7 linked regions of the Mus musculus genome follow. The protein of the gene in region 4 interacts with the protein of the main gene of each other region in a pairwise test. Links are inferred from orthologs where the notes say so. Each region holds a gene or a part of one and is shown on either strand. Other genes may lie near its edges.

What was found.
Region 1: the proteins of Egfr (region 4) and Rgs4 interact in a protein complementation assay, tested with the Homo sapiens proteins (3 studies listed by BioGRID and IntAct, with this or other methods). The link is inferred for Mus musculus from reciprocal best matches to the Homo sapiens genes EGFR and RGS4.
Region 2: the proteins of Egfr (region 4) and Tlr2 interact in binary tests that used the Homo sapiens proteins (3 or more experiments, as listed by UniProt). The link is inferred for Mus musculus from reciprocal best matches to the Homo sapiens genes EGFR and TLR2.
Region 3: the proteins of Egfr (region 4) and Atic interact in a protein complementation assay, tested with the Homo sapiens proteins (2 studies listed by BioGRID and IntAct). The link is inferred for Mus musculus from reciprocal best matches to the Homo sapiens genes EGFR and ATIC.
Region 5: the proteins of Egfr (region 4) and Lat interact in binary tests that used the Homo sapiens proteins (3 or more experiments, as listed by UniProt). The link is inferred for Mus musculus from reciprocal best matches to the Homo sapiens genes EGFR and LAT.
Region 6: the proteins of Egfr (region 4) and Vapa interact in binary tests that used the Homo sapiens proteins (3 or more experiments, as listed by UniProt). The link is inferred for Mus musculus from reciprocal best matches to the Homo sapiens genes EGFR and VAPA.
Region 7: the proteins of Egfr (region 4) and Sh3gl3 interact in a protein complementation assay, tested with the Homo sapiens proteins (3 studies listed by BioGRID and IntAct, with this or other methods). The link is inferred for Mus musculus from reciprocal best matches to the Homo sapiens genes EGFR and SH3GL3.

What each region holds. Positions count from the first base shown.
Region 1 is NC_000067.6:169,744,843-169,749,058, forward strand, and holds the start of Rgs4 (regulator of G-protein signaling 4), read right to left. Parts: upstream 2,801-4,216; 5' UTR 2,682-2,800; coding exon 2,638-2,681; intron 480-2,637; coding exon 375-479; intron 1-374. UniProt on the Homo sapiens protein: Inhibits signal transduction by increasing the GTPase activity of G protein alpha subunits thereby driving them into their inactive GDP-bound form. Activity on G(z)-alpha is inhibited by phosphorylation of the G-protein.
Region 2 is NC_000069.6:83,838,809-83,842,832, reverse strand, and holds the start of Tlr2 (toll-like receptor 2 precursor), read left to right. Parts: upstream 1-1,224; 5' UTR 1,225-1,313; intron 1,314-1,409; exon of another isoform or gene 1,410-1,696; 5' UTR 1,697-1,794; coding exon of another isoform or gene 1,795-1,809; 5' UTR 1,810-1,944; intron 1,945-4,024. UniProt on the Homo sapiens protein: Cooperates with LY96 to mediate the innate immune response to bacterial lipoproteins and other microbial cell wall components. Cooperates with TLR1 or TLR6 to mediate the innate immune response to bacterial lipoproteins or lipopeptides.
Region 3 is NC_000067.6:71,577,030-71,579,903, reverse strand, and holds the end of Atic (bifunctional purine biosynthesis protein ATIC), read right to left. Parts: intron 2,119-2,874; coding exon 1,963-2,118; intron 1,353-1,962; coding exon 1,233-1,352; 3' UTR 501-1,232; downstream 1-500. UniProt on the Homo sapiens protein: Bifunctional enzyme that catalyzes the last two steps of purine biosynthesis.
Region 4 is NC_000077.6:16,750,720-16,755,002, forward strand, and holds the start of Egfr (epidermal growth factor receptor isoform 1 precursor), read left to right. Parts: upstream 1-1,483; 5' UTR 1,484-1,763; coding exon 1,764-1,851; intron 1,852-4,283. UniProt on the Homo sapiens protein: Receptor tyrosine kinase binding ligands of the EGF family and activating several signaling cascades to convert extracellular cues into appropriate cellular responses.
Region 5 is NC_000073.6:126,366,569-126,370,698, forward strand, and holds the start of Lat (linker for activation of T-cells family member 1 precursor), read right to left. Parts: upstream 2,683-4,130; coding exon 2,580-2,682; intron 2,402-2,579; coding exon 2,374-2,401; intron 2,269-2,373; coding exon 2,234-2,268; intron 2,015-2,233; coding exon 1,927-2,014; intron 1,796-1,926; coding exon 1,731-1,795; intron 1,648-1,730; coding exon 1,618-1,647; intron 1,539-1,617; coding exon 1,478-1,538; exon of another isoform or gene 1,403-1,477; coding exon 1,308-1,402; intron 1-1,307. Other genes in the region: Spns1 (protein spinster homolog 1), read right to left, coding at 3,751-3,845. UniProt on the Homo sapiens protein: Required for TCR (T-cell antigen receptor)- and pre-TCR-mediated signaling, both in mature T-cells and during their development.
Region 6 is NC_000083.6:65,582,556-65,586,055, forward strand, and holds part of Vapa (vesicle-associated membrane protein-associated protein A), read right to left. Parts: intron 199-3,500; coding exon 25-198; intron 1-24. UniProt on the Homo sapiens protein: Endoplasmic reticulum (ER)-anchored protein that mediates the formation of contact sites between the ER and endosomes via interaction with FFAT motif-containing proteins such as STARD3 or WDR44.
Region 7 is NC_000073.6:82,272,296-82,275,795, reverse strand, and holds part of Sh3gl3 (endophilin-A3), read right to left. Parts: intron 1,936-3,500; coding exon 1,802-1,935; intron 1-1,801. UniProt on the Homo sapiens protein: Implicated in endocytosis. May recruit other proteins to membranes with high curvature.

The sequences.
Region 1 (4,216 bases), on a different chromosome or scaffold from region 4:
TATGTAGATTCAAATTCTAATTATGATTGACATAAACTAGACTCTCTTGTCTATCTGCCTGTCTATCTCTCTCCATCCTCCTGTGTGTGTGTGTGTGTGTGTGTGTGTGTGTGTGTGTGTGTGTGTGTGTGTGTGTGTGTGTTATAATATCTTCTTATAAATCTCAGGCTAGTCTTGAACTCATGGCCCTCCTAACCTTCCAAGTGATGAGACTACAATTGTGTACCCTCACCTTGAAAGTAGAGGCCATCTTGACCCAAATCTGGCTCAGCTAAGGGCCTGTCTTCACACTCACTCTTTACGTACAACACACAACTTCTCTATTATCAGATAGTTAACCCTCAAGGGCTCTTCGCTGAAGCCACCTCTCTTACCTCTGGCAAGTTACTACTTTGTCCTTCTTGCTGTGTGAAGAACTGTGTTCGCAGGAATCTGACTTCTGCAGCAGGAACCCCAGCCGATGTTTCATGTCCTTTGCACTGCAAGGAAGAAGACAACACTTAACATGAAAAACACATTTCCTTCAAAGAGAGACATGAAGGCTCTTAAGACTGCTGTGTGGGTCAGAAGCAGTGTCCTTAGGGGACTTGCAGTGGCTTGAACTCCCAGAAGCGATTCCTTTGTTTCTGCATATGGCTTTTGATATCGTTGGTGAAAACATGTTAAGAAGTGGCTGCTACTTTGAAATGTGTGCAGTAACTGCAAAACAGGACCCATGCTGCCTGTAGGACATCTTCTGGCAGCCTGGTGCTACTTCCCAAGGTGAGCAGGGGAAGCACTTCTGTAAAGTGAGTCCAGTTAGCCCTGAAAATGGTAGCCAAGGAGTTCTCAGTGTGTGTGTGTGTGTGTGTGTGTGTGTGTGTGTGTGTGTGTGTGTGTGTGTGTGTGTGTGCAGAGCATCAGCTTAAGTGTGTAGTGCTGCAGAGAGGAGCAGGAAAAGTGAATGGTACAAGGGAGTGTGCTCAGGCTGAAAGTGCAGCCCTGCCAGGCTGGTTTCTAGGCAACCTCCACCTAGAGCTGCAAACAACAAACAAACAACCCCAAATCTACATTACAGGGAGATGCACATTTAAAAGGGCATCTGAGACTTTGGGATAGGAGAAGCAAGACAGAGTCAAGGCTGAGGCAAGTAATTAATTAGAGCAGTTTCCACTTTCCAACCACCACTCAACAGCCAGGGTACCACAGAGTTTCTGACTACTTGAACTTCCAGCTCAACTCTGTCATTCTTTCTTAATAGATTTCTAAAACTATATTACTATTATCTCTTTTATTATAAAAGCCAAGAATGGTTTAAATGTGTTTCCAGAGCAACAGAGGATGAGCCGTTCTTGCCTGAAAGGGTTGGCAAAGAACGGCAGTGCTCAGCAGCCCCTTAGGATGGAGGTTGACAAGCTGGTTGCTTATCAGTGGATTTTCTTAGAACGTCCGAATCTCAGGCTATTCTTGGGCTGCCCTTTAAGGTAGTATTTTTCCATCTCTCATAAGGCCATCTTCCTTTCTCTTTTTCCCAAGCTGGTGACTGGTGACAAAATCCTTCCCAGTAACAGCAAGATAAAAATCACCAGAGTTGGGACAGTCCTAAGGTGATGCTATGGATGCATTGTAATCCAGCCCAAAGAGATATGACTTCCTGTCTCCGTGTGCTGCCTCTGCCTGAGCCCCGGCAGCTACTGACTAAGTGAAGGGGCATTTCCAAGGAGCTGGAAGCGTGTTTGGCAAATATCTTGTAACACAACAGAAGCCGAAAAATAAAAACCAAAGTTACGTTAGAAGTCCCTGGAGACAGGTAACCTGGACATGGTCCTTCCTCTACCACCACCAACCATGTGACCTTGAGCAGATAAGACCCTCTGGAGACCCTAGCACTGAAGATGAGAGCTGATTAACCCTTTGAGGGCAGACAAACATTGTGCTTTGGGGAATTATTTCCAAGTTGAGATTTATATCTCCAAGGATGGTTAGGGAGGTTTGGTAGAGCCACAGATCACTTCTGACCTCTAAGTTCAAGAGGAAATCATGTAATACACACTAACCTTGTGTTTTATTTTAAACCAACTACTATATATATAAGTACTCCATGAAATCATTCATTCATACCCTTAAAAAAAATGAACGCAAAGGCACACAGGTGCCTCTAAAACTTTAAGCTGCTATGTTACAAACTGTATATATTTCTCAACCACAGAGATGTAGTTTGGAAAAAAAAATCTTTTATGCTTACGCTTGTTGACAACCAAGGCAGAGGACACTGAAGAATGCCACAGAAAGCATTCTGACAATGTCTCCAAACTTCCTTCTGAGGTTTCTTCCCTCACACAAGAACTAGTTAATCATGATTTCAGAAATGCTCCAACAGGACATGGTTATGGAAAGAGTACAGATGCATCCCCCACACCTCCTATCACTTCGTAATTCAAACAGCTTAACTAAAGGACCCAGCTTACAAGTCAAAGCCAGTCTCAAAACTGAAGTCATGTAAAATACAGCAATCTGGCTGGTCCTAGGGAGACGCTACCAGGGCTTCCTGGAGCATATAGCTTCTGATCCCAGAGAACTTCCTAAGCAAAAGCATGCAACTCACTGAAAAAGTCTATGCAAAACTTTAGCCTGACCAGTAACAGAAACCAATCTTACCTCCTCAGGCAGGAAGCCGGCAGACCTGCAAGTCCTTTGCACATCTTGTTTAACTGAGGGATTCTTAGCGAGGAGAGAAAGGCAGCGGGAGCCGCGGTGGTTTCTATTTTGAGCACAGTTGCTTCTGCTCTGCAAAGAAGCTGTCAGAATCCTCTGAGCCTCTGGCTTTCAAGCCCGGTGGGGTCTCTTTTATAGCTCAGCCACGCACCCGGCAGCCAATCAGATGACAGGTCTGCAGGCTCCGCTCTGCTGCGGCGCGCTGCCTCTCCAGCCCTCAGAAAGGGTGAGGAAGAAACAACTGACGCATCAGGGATGCAAATGGACCCAGCGGAGAGAAGCCATTCGCAAAGTAGGCATATAGAAAATGAGGTTTTGCTTAACGTTTCTACCTACGCGTCAAGTTTTGCATTTGTAGGAAAGGAAATATAGAATCCACCGTGCTGAAAAATATTCATTGGCTTGTAAGATCAATGTCTAAGGAACTGTTCTCCCAGAAAGAAAGAAACCAGCAAGGAGTCTTCATCCTACTCTACGTCTGGGTCTCAATACATGTTTCTCCTTGGGTTAGAAATATATTCTGGGTAGTGTGAGGCAGAGCTGGTACTAAGATCGTGGTCTCTGGGCAGTGATTTAATGAAATATCCTGCCTGATTGGTAGACACGGAGGGATGTGGATAGCAAACAGCTATATGTCCGGCAGCATAGCAAAGCCAATGGAAGTTAAATCCAGTATGTCTGTAATCAATATGACCTTGAGACATTCCTAAATATGTTACTGAGCACAAAATCTAGTCCAGCTTTGGCGTTCTCTCCTGAAGACCCTTGACTCCTGCAAAAGACTAAAAGGACCAAAGCAGGGGTGGATGGACACATTAAGACACCAATTCCAATTGCACCTGAGTTTGTATGATATGTAATGCTAAATCTTTATTATTCAAAAAAGAGAGAGGGAGGGAGGGAGGGAGGGAGGGGGGAGAGAGAGAGAGAGAGAGAGAGAGAGAGAGAGAGAGAGAGAGAGAGAAGATCCAGCAGGCAGAAAGATGTGTAGTTTGCCTTGCATATTAACAGGCTGTGAAAACGGTGGGAGAGCAGCCATCCGTGCTGTGGCTTCTGAGTTTCCAAGAATCTTTCACATTCACTGCCACGGACTGAAATCTTCAGACTCCTGCAAGTACTTCACATCTTGCAATCATGGTTGAAATACCCAGATAGGCAACGCAAATTGGCTGTGTACACACTGGGGAGTTGTGACTGGAAGAGAGAGGTTTGCTTCAGTGTCTGACCAAAACAGCTTTCGTCTTAAAGTCACACAGGTGCCTGGTCTTAATCCAGTGACCTAGATTTTACACACAAAGACATCACTGCTTTTCAGTCTTTGGGGCTGAAAGTAAATAAAAACAAGACATCGGATGATTTGCACAAAGAAAGAGAGGTACCAATAGCTTTCTTTAGAGAAGGGTTTCTCTCAGAGGTATCAAAAATATAGAATGGGAAATAGAAGCATGTAATGTTCTTCTATGCTCTGGACCAAACACCTGCCCTCTTTATCGTACACATCTTCCTTGGCTAGCTGAGTATG
Region 2 (4,024 bases), on a different chromosome or scaffold from region 4:
TGGGGGTAAGGTTGCTTGCTCTGCATCCAATCTCGCCTTGCCGAGGTCAAATGGGATCACAGGCACCCGAGGCAGGTGATTAACTTGTTTTAAAGTAGGGGGTTTCCCCTTACAACTGGAATATGGAGCCACATCTCCACCATGAAGCAAACCAATCTACGCTGTTTTCAGAATCACTCTGCGATGCAGCTATGGGATAGAGAAAGGGAAGTACTTAGCTTCAAAGCCATAGATAGAAGTGGGGGCCCCGAATCTTCCCCATGCTTAGAAGGGGGGCTGTTCTGGGGGCCAAGGAAAGAGAAACATATCTGTGCCATCCTTATCCATTCATATCCCAAGCACAATGCTGCCATTCAGGTCTGCATGGAGGCTGGTAGACTCTGTTATCAGATGCTGAGCAGAAATGGATCCCAGAGACATAAGGGCAGGGGGACAAAGTGTTGAAAAGGAGGAGAAAGAGAAAATATTCCTGAGCCCAAGTTGCAACCTCTGAGGATGGAGAGATAGCAAAAGAGTTCAAAAGATGTGTTTGAGGGAGAAGTGAGATTCTGAGATTAGAGTAGTTAGAGTTAGGACCTGGGTCTTGGCAGCCCTGGCTGTCTAGCCTATCCTTTTGGGCCTCGATAGGGTATTTAAATGATTATCAGTAGACAGCAGAAAAGTAGCTATTCAGTGTAGCCACATCAGGAAGACAACTAAATAATGAGGGTGTACGACGCCCCCATCCTAAGTTCAGCATCCTGTCACCACAGGTTTAGATTTAGATAATACAGAAAGAATCCATAAGTAGGCAGTTTTGGTCAAGGTGTGCTATCCCCCCGAGTCATTCAGCCATCATTGTCCAGGCCTCCAGTGTTTTCCTCATGGTGAACTGATAAAAACTCCCTGTGACTGGCACAGGGCTGTAATTTTTTAACGTTTCCTAGCTGGAGCATTCCAATAACCAAAGAGAGTGCGTCTCTTCAGAATATCCTCTTCCTTCCAGAATCCTTGCAGCAGCTCAACTCAGCCAAAAGGCGAGCTGGGAGGCAGCTTTCTCTTTAGGACACCTGGGGAATTCCCACACGGAGCCTCTGGACTTTCAGTTCTGTTTTGCCTGCCCTGTGGCTCCTGCCAGCTCTGATGCCAGGCTCCGTTCCCCTTGCAGACCCCTGTGGGCGGCGCTTGCCGCACCGGGGGCGGTGCTGGCGACCGGGAAGTTCGGGGCCCTGACCTGGGGACATCCCCTTCCCTCACTTCCAGGTCTTCAGTCTTCCTAGGCTGGTGCCCAGATGGCTAGTGGGCACGGGGAGCGGCGGCTGGAGGACTCCTAGGTAGGTGGATCGGTCCTGCTGCCGGGTTGCTGCACCCCTCCCCGGACAGGGTCGAATCGACCGGGGCGGCCGCTGTGCTGTGCGGGGACCTGGTTTCCAAAGTGAAGCACCTGCGCCCCCAGCCGGGCGGATCAGCTTTGGGGCCAGATGTTTGTTTCCTGCTGTGATCCCTGCAGGAAGAGGGACACCCAGGGAAGAGGGGGCCACCGGAGAGCTGCAGCCACTGTCCCAGAGCCCGCGGCTGTGTGATCTGCGTCTTTACAGCCTTTCTGGCCCTGGGGTCACAGAAGGGAGTGTCTGTAGTGTCTCTGAACCCTGGGAAGCTAGGGTGAACGGTGACGCTGTCCCAACTTACATCCAGTCCACCCCTCTCTTGTCCCCAGGCTCCGGGCAGGCGGTCACTGGCAGGAGATGTGTCCGCAATCATAGTTTCTGATGGTGAAGGTTGGACGGCAGTCTCTGCGACCTAGAAGTGGAAAAGATGTCGTTCAAGGAGGTGCGGACTGTTTCCTTCTGACCAGGATCTTGTTTCTGAGTGTAGGGGCTTCACTTCTCTGCTTTTCGTTCATCTCTGGAGCATCCGAATTGCATCACCGGTCAGAAAACAACTTACCGAAACCTCAGACAAAGCGTGAGTGGAGTCTTTTAATAAGTATCTTATGACTTCTTCAGTCCTATAAACGAGAACCTTGTGTTTACATCTTAGATGTCAGGAAAAGGCTTTTCTAGTTTCAAAAAGGAGAAATATTATTTCGGGTGTAAAACGCTCAGATTGCCTGGAGGCTTTTGATCTGACAGAAAGTTCTTCAGCAAAGAGCAAATGGTAGGTAAGGTGGCTGGACTCAGACGGAGAGACCCTTTTCCTCCCCAAAAGGGAAATATTATGAGTACTGGAAAATATCTTATTTCACTACACTCGAAGTTTTTTGTTGTTTTTTTGTTTTTTTGTTTGTTTTGTTTTTGTTTTGTTTTGTTTTGTTTTTCTGTTCTAAGCAAAGAACACTTGCACCTTAAACCTTTAATTAGTGAATACAAAAACTGCCAGGCATTGACAGTATGTTTTGGAAGTTTCTAAGCTACCAAGTTTTTGTTTGTTTGTTTGTTCTAAATTTATAAGTTAACATTTAACGGGATAAGTGCCCAATGAAAAATCACCCTCCCATTTAAAGAAGTGAAGCTTAAGGGAGAACACTTAACATAGGGAAACAATTCAGAACGTTCATAATGCAACGATTGGAAGCCTCCACATATTAATTATATTGAATAGAAGGTACTTCACTTAAATGATCAAGTTAGTAGCGTCAGGAAAGAATTAACATCTACAACCTACAATCATAGGCTGGCTTAGCTTTTTTGAGATGGTCTCAGGCCTTATGCTGAGACCGCAACTCATCGTGTGATTGTGGATGTCTTTGAACTACTGACTTCCTGCCTCCGCCTGCCTGAGTCTAGGTGTCCACAACTGTGCCCTGTTTATTCAGTCCTGGGGGTCAAACACAATGGCATACTAGCAAAGTGCTACAGACAAGCTGCATCCCAGGCCCATCGCCTGCTGTGTCTGAGATAGATTCCTTAGGGGCACTAAAGGGGAAAATGTACAACCAGCTATCAAGAGAAGCTGTGGGAGGGAGGTGGAGAGGTGGATCTGCAGTAAGGAGTACTTGCTGATCTCTCAGAGGACCTGGGCTCAGTTCCCAACACCCACATGGTTATAGGGGCTCTCATGTCTTCATTTGGTCCACATGTGCACATTCAGGCAAAACACTCACACACTCATACCTATACCATACAGTGGCACTTGCCACCAGGCCTGATGACCCGAGCTCAATCCCCAGAACCACATGGTGGAAAGAGAGAACTGGCTTCCTCAAATTGTCCTCTAACTTCCACATTTGGGTAGTAGCGCACGTATGCCATCCCCCAACCATTACAGAAGCATAAAACATATTTTGGGAAATTGTTGCGTTATTTCACTGAGCAAATATGACCACAGCACGTGTGGTTGCATGGAACAGCTACAGGGTATAGGGCCCAGAAGGTGCCCTGGGAGACGAGCCTTGGATTCTCCCAGGAAAGCATACTGGGGAAGTGAGGCAAACTACCTTATTTCCTTTTCATTCATCTAAGTAGCCAATCTGGGATTGGACACAGCTTTCCGAGAACTTAACTCAGCAGAATGAGAAGGTTCTGGGGGCCTGAATGTCTCCCTCAATTTGGCAGACTATTGACGCCTCTCTGCCTAGGGCTCTAGACATTCCTTTTGTCTGGTAGTAGTAGGAGCAAGGCAGAGTGAGTAGGCTGTTTCCGTGCCCAGTGAGAGATCACGGACCAAGGGAGCAATGAGTTGAGTAAGAGACATCCTTGGTGAGCGTTAAAGATAGGAGCCCGCCACTAGAGAGCCATAGGCCACATCTAGTTCATTTCTTTAACTACTGACTTGTTCATTCTCATTCATCTGTTTATGTTCAACCCACATTTATTGAGTCCTGTGTTGTTGTTGTTGTTTTTGCCTCTCAGATGATTGTTTTTACGTTTCTTCATCTGCTATTGCTACTGTATATAACAAAATTAATTTTTAATTTTCATTCATGTATTGTGTTTGCCTGTAACTTATTCCTTGCATGAGGGAGAGAGACAGAAAGACAGAGAGACAGAGAGAATGTGAATAAGCGTGATAATAATGATATGTCCTCAGATACACTCACTCACAT
Region 3 (2,874 bases), on a different chromosome or scaffold from region 4:
TAAGACTCAGGTACCTCACGAGGTGAAAGCCAGAGACGGGAACAGAAAGTCCCATTGCTAGAGCTTCTCATTCACAAGGCTGGCAGTTAGCATGAGCCAGATGTCTGTGTCCTCAAAGAGGCAGGGAATGTTGCTATAGCAGCAAGCAATCCAAGAAACCAAGGCTGAGGGATCTCTGCCCTGTGAAGCCACACAGTTTACTGATTATGTAAGTCCACTTTGTTTCAGCGGGCCACTCCAAGAGTTGAAAGATCAGCCAGCACAGAAACAACTCAAAAGATGACTGTTTATTATAAAATGTTCTGTGCTGGGTGTGGTGTGCTAACCTTTACCTCCAGCACTATGAGGCCGAGGGGACAGGTGGAACTCTGTGAGTTCCAGATCAGCCTCAGTTACAAGTTCCAGGACAGCAGGAGCTACAGAGAAACCTTATGTCAAACAAAACAAAACAAAACAAAACAAAACAAAACAAAACAAAACAAAAGTAACCACAAACCCAAAAAGTTTTAAAATTTATTTAGAGGATTGGAAAGAAGGCAAAACTAACCTAAGGCTAAGTGACCACAGGGATCCTCTGGGTGAACAGTGAGGACTATAACCACAGGGACATAGATCCAGTTATGTCCTGCCTGGTACAGGGAGGCACTCCACCCCCACCCCCACTTCCCCCTGACCCCCACAAGTTAATATCTGCTCACTTTGGGTGAAAAGCTCTATGCAGAACGCCAGTCCATTTATAAGTTTATACCAAACAGGAATACTAAGTAGCCAACAGAGGTTTTAAGCAATTCTGGAGAAAGAAAGAGCAGTCCCAGCATTTAGATCTAGTTAAGGACCCAGTTCCCAGGGGATAATGGGAAGCAAACAGTTAAGCTTCCGAGAGGCAGGAAGAAAGGAGCCCTGGGGAGAGCGCTGGGCAGGGTGGTGGTGGTGGGGTGGGGTGGGGGTGGCATGTCATCATAAGGCAGCGTGGCTTCTCCTGGTTACCTGCACTTAGGTGTCTCACAGGGACTTTTCCTGAAAGCTGGCTCCAGGAGGGAGAGATGCTTTCAGGTTTTGCAGAAACAAGCCTCACATAAGGTGTCTTAGGCTAGAAAGCTCTACCTTTCAGATAAGTAAGACCCACCTACTAAACCACACACCCAGATATTAAGATACAAATGACTCTTCTAGAGGTACTTCCAAGACCCCACACATGATTATCTACGACCAGGAAACAATGTCAGCTAAGGTCAGTGGTGGAAGAGCCGGAGATCCGTATGAGCCAAGACAATCCCCAGCTCGTCGCACGCCTCAATCACAACCTTGTCAGCAGTAGATCCAGATGGAGCGACAATGTAGGCCACACCACTCTGCGGAGAAAACCCCCAAAACCAATGGTGACTTTCAAGGCATTATAGTATGCATACCTAGAAAAACCCAAAATTCCCCTCTAGAATGCAGCGGTGGGAGAGAGGACTCAATGGTTTAGAGCACTGGCTGCTTTCCCAAAGAATTCAAGATTGGTTCTCAGCACCCATATAACATAGCACTCACAACCATCTGTAACTCCAGTCTAGGGTCTCTGACGCCCTCTTCTGGCCTCCATGAGCACCAGGAAGGTACACATAATACATACATAAGTACATGCATGTATATAAAATATAAAAATATATAAAAATAAATCTTTAAAAAAGCATAAGCTAACGATGAAATATCCAGACAAAGCAAGAGAATTTGGATTTTGCCTACATCACACAGGGAAGGAAAATAGCTCACTTATATCAAACCGACATAGCTTTCCGATGCGACTCTAGGAAGCTAAAACACAGGAAGCACAATTTCGTTTTGTGAAGCTAGGAACTGAAACTGAGGCCAGGCATCGACTGCTCGAGTGGCCTGTGCACATCCCCAGACTCTAAGGGGCTATCTGAAATCATCCCTACAATTCTACGTCCCCAGCACACTCCAGTTCTTGCTTACCCTTTTAGCTCGGTCCACATTATCCCTGAAAGGAAAGAAGGCGTCGGAGCTGACAGACACGCCGCTCAGCTTGTCCACCCATTCCTTCTTCTCCGCCTCCGTGAGTAACTCAGGAACCTCTTCGAACAGTGCTTCCCATTTCACCAGGTCTTCGCCCTAGGGAGCCAGGGACGGAAAGGGAGCCCAGCATCACTGTTAGCGCAATCCAATGAGAGCACAAGGCCAGCAACCACTAGGGCATTCTCCTGTCTGCTCACTAAACAACACGCCGAGGTTCTTTGATGTTTTAAAAACATGTTCATTAAGGAAAGGTCATTCTTAGGTTGCCAAAGAGAATAGATTGTACTTTTGTTTATCCTAAAACCTACAATAGTCCTGACTCTCAAAGTTAAATCTGTAATTTTATATACCTTCACCAAACCATTTAAGACAATGCTTCATGTCTAACCTAGGACCTGGATAATAACTGATGTCTGTGTACATGAACTACATGTACAACTGTTTCAGGTATAAAGTCAGCCGCAGGCAAATCAAAGAGACGCACGGCATTTACTACTATCTGATGCTGTCACCTCACAAGCTGACCATGAAGTGTAATCCCAGTGCAGAGGTGGTAAGTAATAAGGCCTTCTGCAGGCTGCAATGGAGCATGCCGACAATCCTGCACTCACAGCTGCAGTGCAGCTCAGCCTACACTAGAGCCACCATCTTACATGAAACCAAACAAAACCAGAAATAGTACCAAAACCACACGGAGCTGCTAAGGGCTTTTGTATAAATGTGGTAGGAGAAGGCCCCTGGTGACCAGCTATCAGATCACGTGTGGCTCAAGTCTAATGTCACCTCTGCTGACACTAGGGGATGCTGGCAGATGGAGAAGAACAGCCCTGCAGTGACAATATTATAACCCAT
Region 4 (4,283 bases):
CTCATTCAAAACCTAATTTTTTGTAACAATAAACAAATCAATCTCATTGGTATGCAAATTTGCCTTAATCTTTAGTAAGTGGTAAAGTCATATATATGCCAAAAATTATCTTAACATTGCATTAGGATCTACCATTAGTCGATGTCTGATTTGAACACCTATTTTATATAAAATCCCAAGATTACATAAAAAGCATCTATGAAAAGAGGTTGCCCGTGGGAAAAGTTTAAGAAACCCCGCTCTACTTCTCAGTGAAGGTCTCAGGTTGTGATGAGGGTCCCTGCACAGGCTGGGTGACGTGTTCCCATTCAAGACGCCACCTACAAAACTTGGGCAGCAGCCCTGACTTTGCAGGGTGCGGACGAAAAGTCCGGAATGCCTCCTTTCTGGCTGCATGGAAAAAGCTGGACTGAGCCTCACTGGTTAGCCATGACTTCTGCTAACAAGGACACCCACAGCAAAGGGGCCTAAATTAGGGGACCAAGTGATTTTGTGAAAAACTCAGAGACTTTGGATTGAATGGAAGCAGGGGACATTCCTCTGATAGCTAAGAAGTAGGGACATTGGTTGGTCTTTGCTGAAGGAATTTAGTTGTGGGTCCTGAAGTTCAGGGACACATTTCTACTGGTCAAATTCTAAGTGAACTTACTTGGCAATTTGCCTCCTGATGTGCGGCAGGGCTAGCTGAGGTCACTAGAGGATGCTAACTGCTCTAAAGATTTGTTCACTGCTGTTATGTCAAGTCTCTGCTTTTGTGGAGGAATTTGCCTCATGTGTACGTTGCTTTGCTTTTCAAGCACTCCAGACTGGCTCCAGGTGTAGAAAATGCCATGTTCTTCAACATGCATGCTTTCATCCAGCAAATATACTGAGGCCCTTCTAAGTGTCAGGAGTTGGCTGCCCTTCTTTCAGAAGACATGGAGGGTTCTTGATGGGATCTGAAGGACCCTTGGACTTCTTAGTGCCACTTCAGACTTGAGGCACCCGCCTCTGCCTGTGCTGTTGGAAACTGCTGCCAAGTCAGCCTGACCCTTCTGAGATCCTGGAGAAGTTATGGAGAATACGTGAACAGCGTCCCCACCTGTGTTATTCTCCAACCTGTGCTCTGTGGTTGGACAGTTTGTAACCGAGGTGGTCCAGAGTTGTTTGGTTAATTGAAAGAAAGGAAGGAAGAAGGTGGGAGACAGAGGGAAGGAAGGAGGGGACCCTGGCATAGATTGGCTGGACTTCCTAGGTCCTGAAATGCAGCGGAGCGGAGTCCCCTCAGAAATTAACTCCAAAGGCCACCCACTGACCCGCTGCACACAGCCAGAACTCGCCCCCAGAGCCTTGTCTAGTGGTGGCCAAGGCCATCCACCACCACCTTCCGGTCACTGCCTGCTTTCGATCCTCGCGGAGAGCGCTTCCTCTCTCCTGACATTCTCCTCCTCTTCGCTCCTCTGGATCCCTCCTCCTTCTTTAGTCCCTCCTCCTCCCGCCCAGCCTCCCCCAGTCCCGACCCGAGCTAACTAGACGTCTGGGCAGCCCCAGCGCAACGCGCAGCAGCCTCCCTCCTCTTCTTCCCGCACTGTGCGCTCCTCCTGGGCTAGGGCGTCTGGATCGAGTCCCGGAGGCTACCGCCTCCCAGACAGACGACAGGTCACCTGGACGCGAGCCTGTGTCCGGGTCTCGTCGTTGCCGGCGCAGTCACTGGGCACAACCGTGGGACTCCGTCTGTCTCGGATTAATCCCGGAGAGCCAGAGCCAACCTCTCCCGGTCAGAGATGCGACCCTCAGGGACCGCGAGAACCACACTGCTGGTGTTGCTGACCGCGCTCTGCGCCGCAGGTGGGGCGTTGGAGGAAAAGAAAGGTAAGGGCGTGTCCCACCGGCCCGCGCCCCCTGCGAGCTAGCTCGCCCAGTCCCAACCTCCGCTCGGGACTCTAAGTCCCCAGCCGCCCGCTCCTCCTCTTCTGGCTCCCAAAGGCGGCCGGGACCATAGGAGGAACTGGACGGAGTCTGGAATGGGCGAGACTGGGGCCGCCGAAGGAAGGGAGACTGGGCTAGGAGCAGAGGGGCTGCCAGGGCAGCGTGGGAGCCGCGGCTGTGCGCTCCGGGGCTCTTGACTGCTGCCAACTTAGTTGCCTCACTTTCCTGCGCTCAGTAGGCGTTCGGAGCAGAAACGTGGTGCGGGACAGCGCGGGACGCCGGGCATTGGCGCACGTGCGCCCAGTACTGTCAGGGAGAGCGGAGGGACCCCGGATCCTCAAGCGGGTCGGGTGTGTCCCACCCGCTCAGTGTGAGAGTTGAGGGACTGGAGTGCGAACCAACGCGCCCCTGGTCAAGGTCGGAACCTCTGAGACGCGCGGTTTCCTGAGCGCGGTTTCCCTCAACTCCTCTCTTCTCCAGCAGGGTACTCTCAGGACCTGGTAGCCTGAGTCCCAATGTAGCTTGCAGATTTCTGGCTTGCCCTTTCGCGGGTGTGTAGTTGCAGCAATGACCTGGAAGTGTGGAGATCTCTCTGTCACTAACCACCTAGGACTTCTGGGAAGAGATGGTGTTAGTGGTCATTTGCTTCTTCACTAGGAAAAAAAAAAGGAGGGCGTGGGGGTGGCGGGTGGGGTGGGTCGATTCCGCCTCTTAGGCATAGAGCATGCCAGAGACTTGCCAGGCTAGGTGCACTGGTTGGGGACCAAGGCTCCATGCCAGATTGGAGCTAGCGTTGCGGGGTGGCTACTTCCCCTGGGATCCCTGAATTTGCCCTTTCCCAGAAGCTTGGGCTGCTGCAGCATCACTTGCCTTTGCAATGGATGGCTGACCTCCTTGTGACAGCTGGGCCCTTGGGTGTAGTGCACCCTTGGTGTTTCAAAATGAGGCCGGTAGCAAACTTTCTTACTTGTTAGCTGAGACGTTCCCTCTTGGGTTTCTTTTTCTTTTCTTTCCTTCCACACCCCTCCCCCCCCCCAAGTGATTGATATTTGGCCAACTAAAATATAACCCCTAATTAAAAAGAAACATTGATGTCCATGGATCACACATGCCAACTGTCCAGACGGAACATGAACAAGTCTGGCTTCATGACTATCCGACCATAAACCCACTTGACACGAGAAACATGCCTCGGAAGGTTTAATTGCACAATTTCAAAATCCAGCCGCTCGGGTTCCAGGAGTCAGGTCTGCACTTGCTGTTGATGTCATCCGCATCCAAGTTGGACTTGGGGGTTGGTGCTCCGTGCACTTTTGTTGGAGGGGGTGTAAGGCTCAGTTTCCCAAACTTAACTACACAATGAAATCATTTGGGTTTAAAAATCAACAAGCAAAACAAACTACACCCCTCCTCCGTTGTTTAGCTACCACTCCATACACTCAGATTTCACGGGTCGATCTTGAGAATTAGAATTTTCAAAACTCTTGTAGCATTTGATTTGAGACTCGCTAGCATAAATGAAAAATTGATAACATCTAAAGGAAGACTACCACGACGGTTCTAACGAGCAGGAGTCTGGGAAATCTTGCAGTACAGGAAATAGCAGGGATAAAGTCGGTAAAGAGGGCTTGCTTTTTTCACAGATGGGATGGAGCACTGTGGAGCTTTTCTCCTACCTTCCTTAGCTGAAGGGCTCCAGGCCCCATCGGTCAGTTGCCTGGCATCTGTGCCTACCCATAGGACTCCCTCCCCTAGTTTTCAGTTTCCCTTAGAGCCCCTGTAGAACACCAGTTGTCTCAGCTTAACTCTGTGTTTCTTCGCTGTTAGGTGTTACTGTTATGAACACTGTTAGTGGTTGGAGATTTGTTTTCGGTTAAATAAAAATGCCACTTCATCTGTCTGTTTGTATGATATTCACTTAAAGCCAAATGCTTCTGGGTGTAGCAGGAAAGGTAGCAAGCAAATATTTATCTGTCAAAGTAACGTAAAAAGGCTAAGTTCTAAAGGACAGATTATTGAAAACGTGAGACACCCTTTCTGCAACAGGCTGATAAAAGATTTGTTTGTTTAATTGGTCAGTTTTGTTCCAGACTGGCTCCCTTAGTTGAGGTAGGGTGTTTATCCTTCCCTCCAAATCTATGGTACCATATGTAAATGTCATCAAAGCAGAAGACAGTTAGACTCTGTTTTCAGTGCATTGTCAGTCCTCACATTGCATGTAGTGAGAGGTGATTCTCATCATCTGTTTGGGGAACCTATGCACAGAGAAGTGTAGTGATTTTCCCCCATAGCTGTTAAGAAGTGATGCCAAAATTGATTCAAGTTCCTTCCACCTCCAAACTACACTACCTTATTGTAGGAGGACCAGGCTAGGT
Region 5 (4,130 bases), on a different chromosome or scaffold from region 4:
TTTGAGTTTGAGTCTACCTGGTCTAGATATCAAGTTCCAGGACAGCCAGGACTATACAATGACGCTCTATGCCAATAAAACTAAGACAAAACAAAAACCTATCTTCAGACTGTGTATATATTACATATATGGTTTGTATAAAACATGAATAAATTAATTACATGTTTTATCTTGAGTTTCATCCCCAAGAGAATTTATTATATGTTTATAAATATTCCCAAATCTGTATTGAAGTGTTTCAGGTAAGGGATACTCATGCTATACAGAGATAAGAGGATAGAAAACTGAAGATCACCAGAACTTGAGAAAAGCTCAAGGAAGGAGAAAGACCAAAGCAGAGAAAAGCAGCCCAAGAGAAACAACGACCATGTGGTACGCAGAATAAATCTTCAGTGAGTGTGTGTGAGAGAGACAGGCAGAGATACAGAGAGACGGGCAGAGATACAGAGAGACGGGCAGAGATACAGAGAGACGGGCAGAGATAGATACAGAGAGACGGGCAGAGATACAGAGAGACGGGCAGAGATACAGAGAGACGGGCAGAGATACAGAGAGACGGGCAGAGATACAGAGAGACGGGCAGAGATACAGAGAGACGGGCAGAACCAGAGAGGGATAGAGACACAGAGAGAAACAATCTGTAATCAAAATTTGTTTTGTTTTGTTTTTTCGAGACAGGGTTTCTCTGTGTAGTCCTGGCTGTCCTGGAACTCACTCTGTAGACCAGGCTGGCCTTGAACTCAGAAATCCGCCTGCCTCTGCCTCCCGAGTGCTGGAATTAAAGGCGTGCGCCACCACCACCCGGCTATGTAATCAAAGTTCTTATAGATACATTAGATGATATTGCTTCCAAGAAACAACAGTGTACTATACAAAAAGAACCGAGACGCCAAAAAAGGGGAGGGGGACTTTCAGATAAGAGAAATAAATTCTTTTGTTTTCTTTTTGTTGATCGTCGTGCTGTTTTGGTTTTCGAAGAGAGGGTATCACTATGTAGCCCAGGCTAGCCTCAAATTCAACCCTCCTGCCACTGCCTCCTGATGCTGGGATCGTAGGCCCTCACACCCAGCCGAGAAATGAAATTTCAATGGCAGGGTTCAAAAAGAGTCAGGAAATTTCTTAGACAACAGAGACGAAGGAGCAAAGGTGGAAGGAAAAACAAGACAGTCGGAAGTGATGAGGAGCAGGAAGCCCAACGTCTACAGGAGGAAATGGAAGGGCGGCAATCGTCACGGAGGTGAGAGGGAGGCAAGAGTGGAGAGCTGGCAGCACATGGCAGAGGGAGGTAGACAGAAAGCCTGACTCACCAGAGAAGGCACTGTCTCCAAGGTCAGGGTTGCTAGGCACAGGAGCAGAGGAGACAACAGGGACGGCAGCAGGACTACTGTCAGGCAGCACCACTCTGGAAGAAAGGAAGGAACGAGAAGTTGATAAAGGGCACACAACTTCCACGGTCACCTCCCCTCTACCCACTCACAGGTAGCCGTTGGGATAGTCGTCTTCATCCTCATCTGCATCCACATTCTTACAGGCTGGCTCTGTGAGAAAGGAGAGTTAACACGACCTGGACAGGTCCAGCCTCCCCACCCCACCCACTACCCCAGACCCCAGACCCACCCTGGTTCTCGTAGCTTGCCACACTGTTGGCTTCAAAGAGAGAGGGAGAAGAAGACTGGATCAGCTCAGGTTGTACATCCTCCCCAAAGCCCTCCTGTGCCCTACACCCTTACCATCATCTGAATTCTGCTGGGAAGATGGCATCCGATGGGAACCCCCAAGGGGCTGTGGGGATCTCCTGGAAGCCAAAGGTCAGAGATTACGTCTAGGTAGGACTCTGGGAGCAAGACAACCAGGAAAAAGCGCCTCCCCAACCTAGAAGGTGGAGAGGCACAGTAGACCCAAGGGACGGAGTTGGGGGATACTCACGGGATGGGGAGCAGGTCTGGCTGCCTCAGGGGTGGGAAGGAAGTGACTAGAGGGTAGGAAACAGCAGGTGTTCGGGGGACGGTTATTTCTGAGGACACAGAATGAAGCTTGAGGGATGGCTCCAGACACCCCCCATCAAGGCCTCGAAGGACAAATGGACCCCAAAATAACATGCCCTAGACAGACATGGGGGCTCCCACTTTCCCCATCCCAAGCCAGGGAACAGCCCTTCAGACAGCTAAAGGTGAACAAGGACAAACGCACACTCTTAAAAACCCTCGAGGAGGGCCAGAGACACTGAACTCACGAGGTGGCTTGATGAGGATGCTTCTTGGGTACAAACTGGCAGGAAAGAGACAGCTTGGGTACAGGGCCAAGAGGGCCCCAGCCCCAAACCCTTGAGTGGAACCAAGGGAAGACACACAGGGACACGGGCTTCCCACTCACCTCTCTGTGGAAGTGCTGTCATAGGAGACTGGAGGAAAGAAATCCAACAAGTCAGGATCGGGGTGCACCAGGGACAAAGAAACTCAGGCCCCCCACCATCAATCAGGGCCCAGGTAGGGACAGTGGAGAGTGCAGGGGCTGGGGAGGGTATGAGGATCCAATGGAGCGCCCACCCATCATCCAGTTCCGCAAAGCTTCCCACTTACCTGGCAACTCACGGCAGCGCACGCACAGGGCAGCCAGGAGCGTGACCAAGAAGGGCAGCAGCAGGAGGCCCAGCCCCACCGGGCTCAAGGCGTCTGCTTCCATCTGCAGAGCACCTGCCACAGGCCCTGCTGCACTGCAGCCCCTCGAGACAGAGTGGCAGCAGGGGTATGGGACCAAGCGGGCTCCAGCCTGGGATCCGCCCGGCAGTAGGCAGCCGTATCCTTTCGGGGCTGGATGGCTCCCCTCTCTTGCTGGACTGAGTTGAGAGCAGTGTTGGCTCTGGAAAGGTGCTCGCCCCAGAGCCAGAGCTGGGGCCCGTGCCCCAGCTACCAGCTGCACGATCCCCGTGCCCAGCTGTACCTGCCCCTTTCTTGCTCCCCGCCTGCCTCTCCTGCTCACCACCGCGTGCGACAGGAAGCTGTGGTGAGGGCAGGAAATCATCAGGCTGCTCAGCAGGCTGAGCCTGCCCCCTGCCCACTCACCCCCACCCAGTTGTGGGAAGGGGGAGGAGGCAGAGGGACTGTGTGGAGGAAGGGTCTAAGGCTGCAGGATGAGGCAGCCCGTCCACTAGGAAAGGAGACACGTGCCAACCAGGCCCGCGGTACCCTCCCCATGCCCGGGTGGGAGAACTGCAAGGAGGCTCTGCCAAGGCCTGTGTGGACCGAGGGCACTGAGGGCACCACAGGCCCCCAGCTCCCAGGCTTAACTACTGGGAGAGCGACTTCCAGGGGACCACGGTGAGTCACAGTCATACTGAACCAGCTCACTCAGAAAAGAGCAGCCCTCCTTCTAGATTACCAAGCTCAGAAGACAGGGACTTACCCACAGGGTGACCTGACAGCCCCTGCTAAGTCCTGGGACTATGGATATTCCCTGAGGCCAGTGGCACCCACAGAGAGACAAGCAGTCAGTCAGGAGTCTGATTACAAATTTTATTCCATTACAAATAGCACCAAACCCCTTGGGCTGTCCTAGTAGAGAGGACACCCCTTCCCCGTTTCTGGACTCCCATCTCTTCCCTGGGCTGCCCATGTAGTGTCTGGGAGCTGGGAGATATCCCAGGGCTTCCTTCTTGGACCTGGGCCTGGTGAGGGCTTCTGCCTGGGAACCGTCTTGGGTGGGCCCAAGGCCCAGCTGCGATGCATCAGTGGCCGGGTAAGCACCGGCTCCTCAGATGAGCACGCTGGACACGGGGACTCGGGTAGAACGGCCTCGCTGAGGTACTACAATCCGGTCATCTGAGGGCCCAGACTCATGCAACAGACCTGCGAGAAAGGGGTCAGAGCCAAGGCCAGTAAGATAAGAGCCAGCAAGGGGACACAGGCAGCAAGGGGACACAGGCAGAGGGGCCCAGATGAGGCAGCATGGAGAGCCCTCAGAACTGCACACAGACAGAGCCCAATCCACTTCCAGACAGACCCAAAGCTAAGCTGGATGAGCCTGGGATGCTGGGACTCTTGCCCCCAGCTGGTGGCATGAATGGATGGGCTAGTCTGAGTGGAGGGAGAACTGTAGAGTACATACGCGGAGACAGACAGACAGGCAGGTGG
Region 6 (3,500 bases), on a different chromosome or scaffold from region 4:
TCATTTTCAACCCAAAAAACTTACTCTCAGGTGTCGGTTTTCTTCTGAGAGCTTCATCATTTCTCCCTGGAGTCGCTTGCACTCTTCCATCAGTTTCCTTGTTTCCGTATCATTGAGTGAAACACTGTGTGGTTTTGGCAGGGGTCCGTCTTGTTTGGATGCATTCAGTGGAACAGCTTTGCTAGGTTCCATATCATTCTGTGTTTCAAAGATATTGGGAATCTTTAACAAAAAATTTATGGGTTTTAAACTAATACAAACCTAAGTTCTACATATTTCTCTTCTAAAAATGTCATGAAAATATGACAAGTTTCAACTAATTGTAAGATTTATTAAGTAGCAACTAAGATCACCTGCAGACAATGTTCACTGGAACATGTCAATAAAACACCAGCAGCTAATCAAAATAAGCAGCCGATGTCTTCTACTCCCACACCCTTGGAACTTACCTTAGCATAACACTTAAAAGATATCATAACTCATATTTACATTCTTTACTCCAGAATTTCAAATGGAAGGAAATTCACTACGTCTCTTTATTATTTACCCCTAGACACACACTTTGTCCACGAGCAGTCAGTGAGTGAAATGTGCTGAATGAGAAGCTCTGGGTCATTTCTAATGGTCTGACTGCATGCAGTCAAATGAGGTCTTAGGAATTGGAAAGTACAGGACAATCTATCTCATAATCACTCCAGTAAGGTTATAACTACCTAAGGATATACAGTCAAAAACAATCTAATGTCTATTAATGAAATAAAGTAACTAAAAGATGCAAACACTAGAAGGGAAACAATAAACAAGTAATACAATGGCCGCTATCTGTGGTCTTTAACACAGAGGATCATTTAAACTGTAGACTGTCCAATTAGTGTGATTCATTGTGGTATTCTATCTAGGTGGCAGGTTAAGACAACTTTCAAAACTGTAAGGTCTTACCAACACCACAAGCACTTGGACACCTGTGGCAACACCAACATTATTTTCTAAGCCTGTGATCTAAAGTGTTTCAGTATCCTTAAAATCCAACATTATGCTACCACATACAGTAACAGTATCAATATAAAGTCATCCTTTTCAGGTTAAGTCAATGTAACATTTGATAACAAGCAGGAGACCTTGGGTTTGCTGTTAACCACAAAATTTAAAAAGGCAAGCTTTAATCCAGGTAATAACCACTAATCAAGATATTTGACATCCCAAAGTAAATTTTAAGACATCCCAAATCTGGCAGCCAGTTGGGCTACAATGGTTAACACTGTCAACCAGACAGATCTAGAATCACCCAGGACTGTAAACAAACCTCTGGGCACATCTGTATTAAGAAAAGTGGGACAAGCCACAAGAAGGTGAACACCAGCACTCATCACTGCTTCCCGCCTGCAGGGGCAGCCTGCCAACCAGCTGCCCATGCTACCACTACCAGGTTGGACTGTACCCTCCACCTGTGAGCCATCATCAAGTTCTCCTGAAGCTGCCTGGGCAGGTACTTTATAAAAGCAACAAGGTATTCTAATACAGGCACTTAGCTAAGTATCTGACCTGCTAGCCCATTTAACCACTTGCAAGTTTCACAGCTGAGAAGGGTGCATACTTCAAAGTTACAGAGCTGCTTACTTCAATTTATTCGGAGTTTCTCCTGCTGACACACTTATTCTTTATCATACTCTTCCCCAATGTCCAACTAAATCTATCTCTAAAAGAAAAACCTTTACTTCATATTTTGCTAACAATATTTTCTGAGTTTTCTCTTGACAATAATTAAATTGACTTCAAACTGATTTCTCAAATCCTATCCTGCACAATTAAGAACATGTCACCTCTGTCTGTAAAGAGAGAAAACTTAACAGGCAAATAGAGTCCTCACACTTTGCCTAAGAATGAAGAAAGTACTAAGCAGAAAGTACTAATCTGTTTCCCCGCAGAAGGTCCTAGGCTCATCCTCCAGTACAGGAGCAAAAAAACTGAGAGAAAAATCAGTGTTAGCCCCATATTGACTCCAAAATTATACAAAGCTAATAATGTTAATGATTTTAAAATAAAGATAAATAAATTCTTAAAAAACATATGCTGGGTGTGCCAGGAGTATCTCTGTGAATTCAAGACCAGCCTGGTCTATATAGTACAACCAATACTATTCCAGTACAACCAGGACTACAAAGACCAAAAAAAAAAAAAAATGACCATTCTTGCTATATCATTAACCAAACAAATTCATATTATCGTCCTCGATATTTTCATATGCATTTTATACCATGTGTAAGGACCTTGGTTCAATCACCGAGGACTATAAAATAAAAAAGTCAGCATTCATGTAACTATACAGGTGTGCATTCTGCTTTATGTATCTTTCAACTATTTAAAGTGGCACAATATTTCATTAAATATTCCATTCTAGGACTATCAAAATCACTCAACATTTCATTTTTGTTAGAAGTCTGATGGGCAGCTACTATATGGAATTTGTATTTCATTTACAATACATAGCAGATGAAAAAACAAACTTAAAGATCTCTAATGTATAAACAAACAACCTGGCTTAGCTGAAGATCAAGAGAGAAGGCTGAGTCTTTTGTGGGTACACTAAACAGGTGACTATGTGAATACTTCTGATGGAACCTCCACTAGTGAGTTTGCCTGCAGGACGCCAGCTTGCTCTTTTTAAAGTTACTTCAGATTGATCCAGAAAGAACAAACTGCTTTTAGGACCACGGATCAACCAAATAAACAGATTCGATATGCCGTGACTCTTACCAACAAGAGTAACATCATGCTTTAACACCTCAAGTTACAATAAGCTACAGCAGTATGGTATACACTTTCCACTATCCTATACTCTTCTATCTGCAGTAGTCCCATAAGGATTTCACTTTCAGTAACTTTGTAGGGGCAAAGGAGTTAGGGACTAGACACCGAAAGGAAGAGTGAAACCTATGGCAGAGTAACTATTTTCAGTGAAGCTCTAAGACAGGAGCTAATGGGCATGCTTACCACTGCTGTGAGTAAAGGGTGTCAACACATTAAGGCAGTGTGCAGCTAAAGGCAAAAACTATGTCTATGCTGTCAGAATTAAAGTTTTAATCTTTGAATTGAAATACTCAAAGAGCAAGGCTCCATAGATTTTTTTACTTTCTACCCTAACAGCAAAACAATTTCTCTAGGCCCATGGTCATCAAAGTAAGTAATTTCAAATTATAAAGCCAAGCAAGAGTTAGACATTTAGACTTAAAAAAAAGATTTGTTTGCTTGTTTTTTGTTTTGTTTTCTTGGTTTTTTTGAGATAGGCTCTCACTATGTAACCCAGCTTGCCTGAAACTAGCTACACGGGACAAGCTAGCCCTGAACTCAGAGCTCTGCTTGCCTCCCTAAAGCTAGGTATTTTAAGGCCTTATTAGGGAGCTAGAGATGGCACAGTGGTGAAGAACGGGCTGTTCTTCTACAAGGCCGGTCATGAAGCTCCAAGAGGGGAAGTAAAGGGCACTCTCATCACCAGCAGGATT
Region 7 (3,500 bases), on a different chromosome or scaffold from region 4:
CCCAACTTCACGTGCTCTTGTAAATCCATGGAGGCCACATAGTCAGTTGTGCAAGGACACAGAGCCACCTGCTGGAGAACTCCTCAAGAAAACTGACCCCTCCATCCCCTAGAGGGAGTCCAGTCCTAAGCTATGGGGTGGGATGCTGTGAGCCTCGGCCCCACCCACTCTTCAGGTAGAAACCAGTTACATCCTCTGCTCTGCACCCTCTGTCTCTTGCTGAAGGCCACCCACCCTGCCTAGCATTCGAAACATTTACAGAAGGACACATGATGGGCGAGGGGTGGGCAGCAGGTGAGAATGAGAGTCTGTGTGGAGAATAAGGAAGGATGCAGTGTCCTCGCTCAGGTAACCCTTCCTGTCTCCACAGGACTCCCTTCCCCAGTTCTGTTAACATACACAATGTCTAACCACCCTAACTCTACAAAAAATAAGAATATTTCCATTGCCAATTCCTCCAAAAACGATGATGATGACGATGATGATGTAGCGTGTCAAGGGATTCTCGACAGGTTTGAATACCACAGGGAGAGATCAACACAAGCAGGAAGACTGGACATGGGGGAAGGAAGATGGGTCTTGGTGGGGTGAGAGGGATGGACCTGGGCCCAGTGTGGAGTGGGCATGCTTTTCCTGGGATGGAAGGAAGGGGTGACAGGTGAGGGGATCCAGAGTTGTCCAAATAAGGAGGGGGACCAAAACAGCAGCTTTCATTTCTCATCCAGCCTTCCCGGGTCCTTCTCTGATGCCTTCTGCTTTTAGAATAAACTCTAAATGCAGGTAAAGGCATCTGGAGTTCTCCAGGACTCCCAGGCTTCTCTCCCTCCATAGCTACCTGGTCTTCCCCTGTGCCCTGGGTTCCTAGACATCCTAACCCTGGCCCTTCAGCAAGATGTGCTGCCTATTTACCCAGCCCAGTCATCCTGGACAGCTCCTCGGTGGCCTTTCCTCATCCAGCTATGCGGAGGATGGTGCCCCTCCTCAGGCGTCCCTGCTCTTCTCTCCAGCATTGGTAACTGCTGTTTTCCTACCTCACGTCTATATGCTTCATCTGTTTGTTGCAGGAACACGCCACATAGCCCAAGTTCTCCTTAACTCATGATCTCGGTGGCTACACTCTTAAAACTGTCTGGGTCTGGAAAGATGGCGACAAGACTCAAATGAGTCTGCAGCTGAAGGGAGATGTCAATCAAGTTTGAAGGCAGTGAGCTATTCTCTACAACACCACAAGAGGGCGCCTGGACCTTCAGCGCCGAAGTCTGGCAGTCTGCATTGCTTGGAGCTGGCTTGGAGCTGGCTTGCACATCTGCAAAAGCAGCCGAGCTGAACGAGACCTGGAAGTTCCCACAGACACCCTGGACAAAACAATTTCTTGCAGGTTTCCAGGATAAAACTGCCAGTTTCTAGACAATGATTTTCTCGAGAAAGAATGAAACAGAATGACCACAAGCACACAACCGATACAGTGTGATATTAGCAATCAAATCTACACCCCAAAGTATGATGTCGTTGTGTTATATGAGAAGTGGCTGCAGAAATATGATATTCAGCCTGGCTCGCAGATGACTCAGTGAGACGAAGAACAGGACAGTGACAGCGGAGCCTGCACCTCCACCCAGTCTGTCTGCCAGGAGAAACGGATCCCGGTACTCTCTCAGGAACCCATATAATATAGTAATCGAGTGCAGTTTTCAACCCTCAGATAAGACTGTGTGGTTGCCGAGCCCACGCAGAAACCTTGGTTTTAAGTCGTGGTATCATGATGAGCAGCAGCTGGCACAGGACAGCCAGGAAGACTCACCCCGATCTCCTTTAAATCTTTGTCTTGCAGTAGCTGCAGTGGGTCAATAAAAGTTTGCTTCACATTAATATCCAGAGAGTCTTTCACCTCAGCCATGAGTTTCAGGGCCTCACCAACATCTACCAACGAGTTGCCTTGAACAGAAGAACACAATGATTCCTTCAGAATGACAGTCTAGGTTGGGGTGACACGGACTGTGGTACAGTGAGGCTTCACTCTGAGGCCTCTGCTTCCTGACTCAGAACGAATGGGAAAAGAAGAAAATCTACCCATTTCCTGCATGTGTACCTGTGGCCTGCCCTCTCCCCTGTCCTTAAGAGTGAGTTCGAGGCCAGCCTGGTCTACAAAGTGAGTTCCAGGATAGCCAGGGCTATACAGAGAAACCCTGTCTCGACAAACCAAGAAAGAAAGAAAGAAAGAAAGAGAGAGAGAGAGAGAGAGAGAGAGAGAGAGAGAGAGAGAGAGAGAGAGAGAGAGAGAGAGAGAGAGAAAGAAAGAAAGAAAGAAAGAAAGAAAGAAAGAAAGAAAGAAAGAGGGAAAGGGAAAAGGAAAGGGAAAGGGAAAGGGAAGGGGAAAGGGAAAGGAAAGGAAGAGAGAGGGAGGGAGGGAGGGAGGGAGGGAGGGAGGGAGGGAGGGAGGGAGGGAGGGAGGGAAAGAAAGAAAGAAAGAAAGAAAGAAAGAAAGAGGGAAAGGGAAAGGGAAAGGAAAGGAAGGGAGAGAGGGAGGGAGGGAGGGAGGGAAAGAAAGGAAGGAAGGAAGGAAGGAAGGAAGGAAGGAAGGAAGAAAGAAAGAAAGAAAGAAAGAAAGAAAGAAAGAAAGAAAGAAAGAAAGAAAGAAAGAAAGAAAGAGAGTTGGAGGGTCAAAGCACTTCCCACGTTGGCCATTAGATGGAGACAAAGTTCTTCTGTGGAAAATCAGGTCTGAAAACTGGCACCAAGGGCTCCTTACAAGATCAGAGATAAAACATCTTTGTAACAATGAAGGGATGGATTCGTTTGTGGGGATCTGTGTTAACCAATTCAGATTACAATGGAAAGAAGGCCTCCCTCAGCTTGCCGTGGGGGCGATAGGAAGCCATTCATTGCACGAGGTCCTAAAGTTCTGGAACCTCCCTGGGGTCTTGGGTATCAGGGATGCCCTGTGGACAGGTGGGGTGGTAAGGGATGGTTCTGGGATGTGGACATCTTTAGTGACTTATACCCTAGTATCTTGAGTGTAACTTGCAAGGCCTTTGCCACCCAGTGTCTGTTGCCATGCACAGTGAGGTTGTGGCACCTCTGAAAGACACACCTGGGGACACTGCATGAAATTCAACTATTTTATTTTATTTGAGATCTTCCAAATTGATTTTGTAAAAACATGGGGATGAGATGCACTCAGTTCCTCAGATTAGAAACCTGAGGGGCCCAGCCTGAGGCTGACTTTCGAGTAAGTCAATGGCATGAGCAGTTCACTCATGTCTAAAACAGGGAAAGCAATGACGGCCTCACCTCATTCTTAAAGGAAGTAAATTCACAGCTGTTTCCTTGCCAATTAGAAGTGGAAACCATCTCTGGAAGTTAGGGTTGGCCAGGAAGCCAGTCCAACCCTCGCAATGTCACTTCTCCTAGGAGGAGAGGTTTTCTAAACTGAGCTGGCTAGAATTTGATTCTGAGTTGTTCCTACATGGAGGAAGGATGTCTTTTCCTAGCTTAGGGAC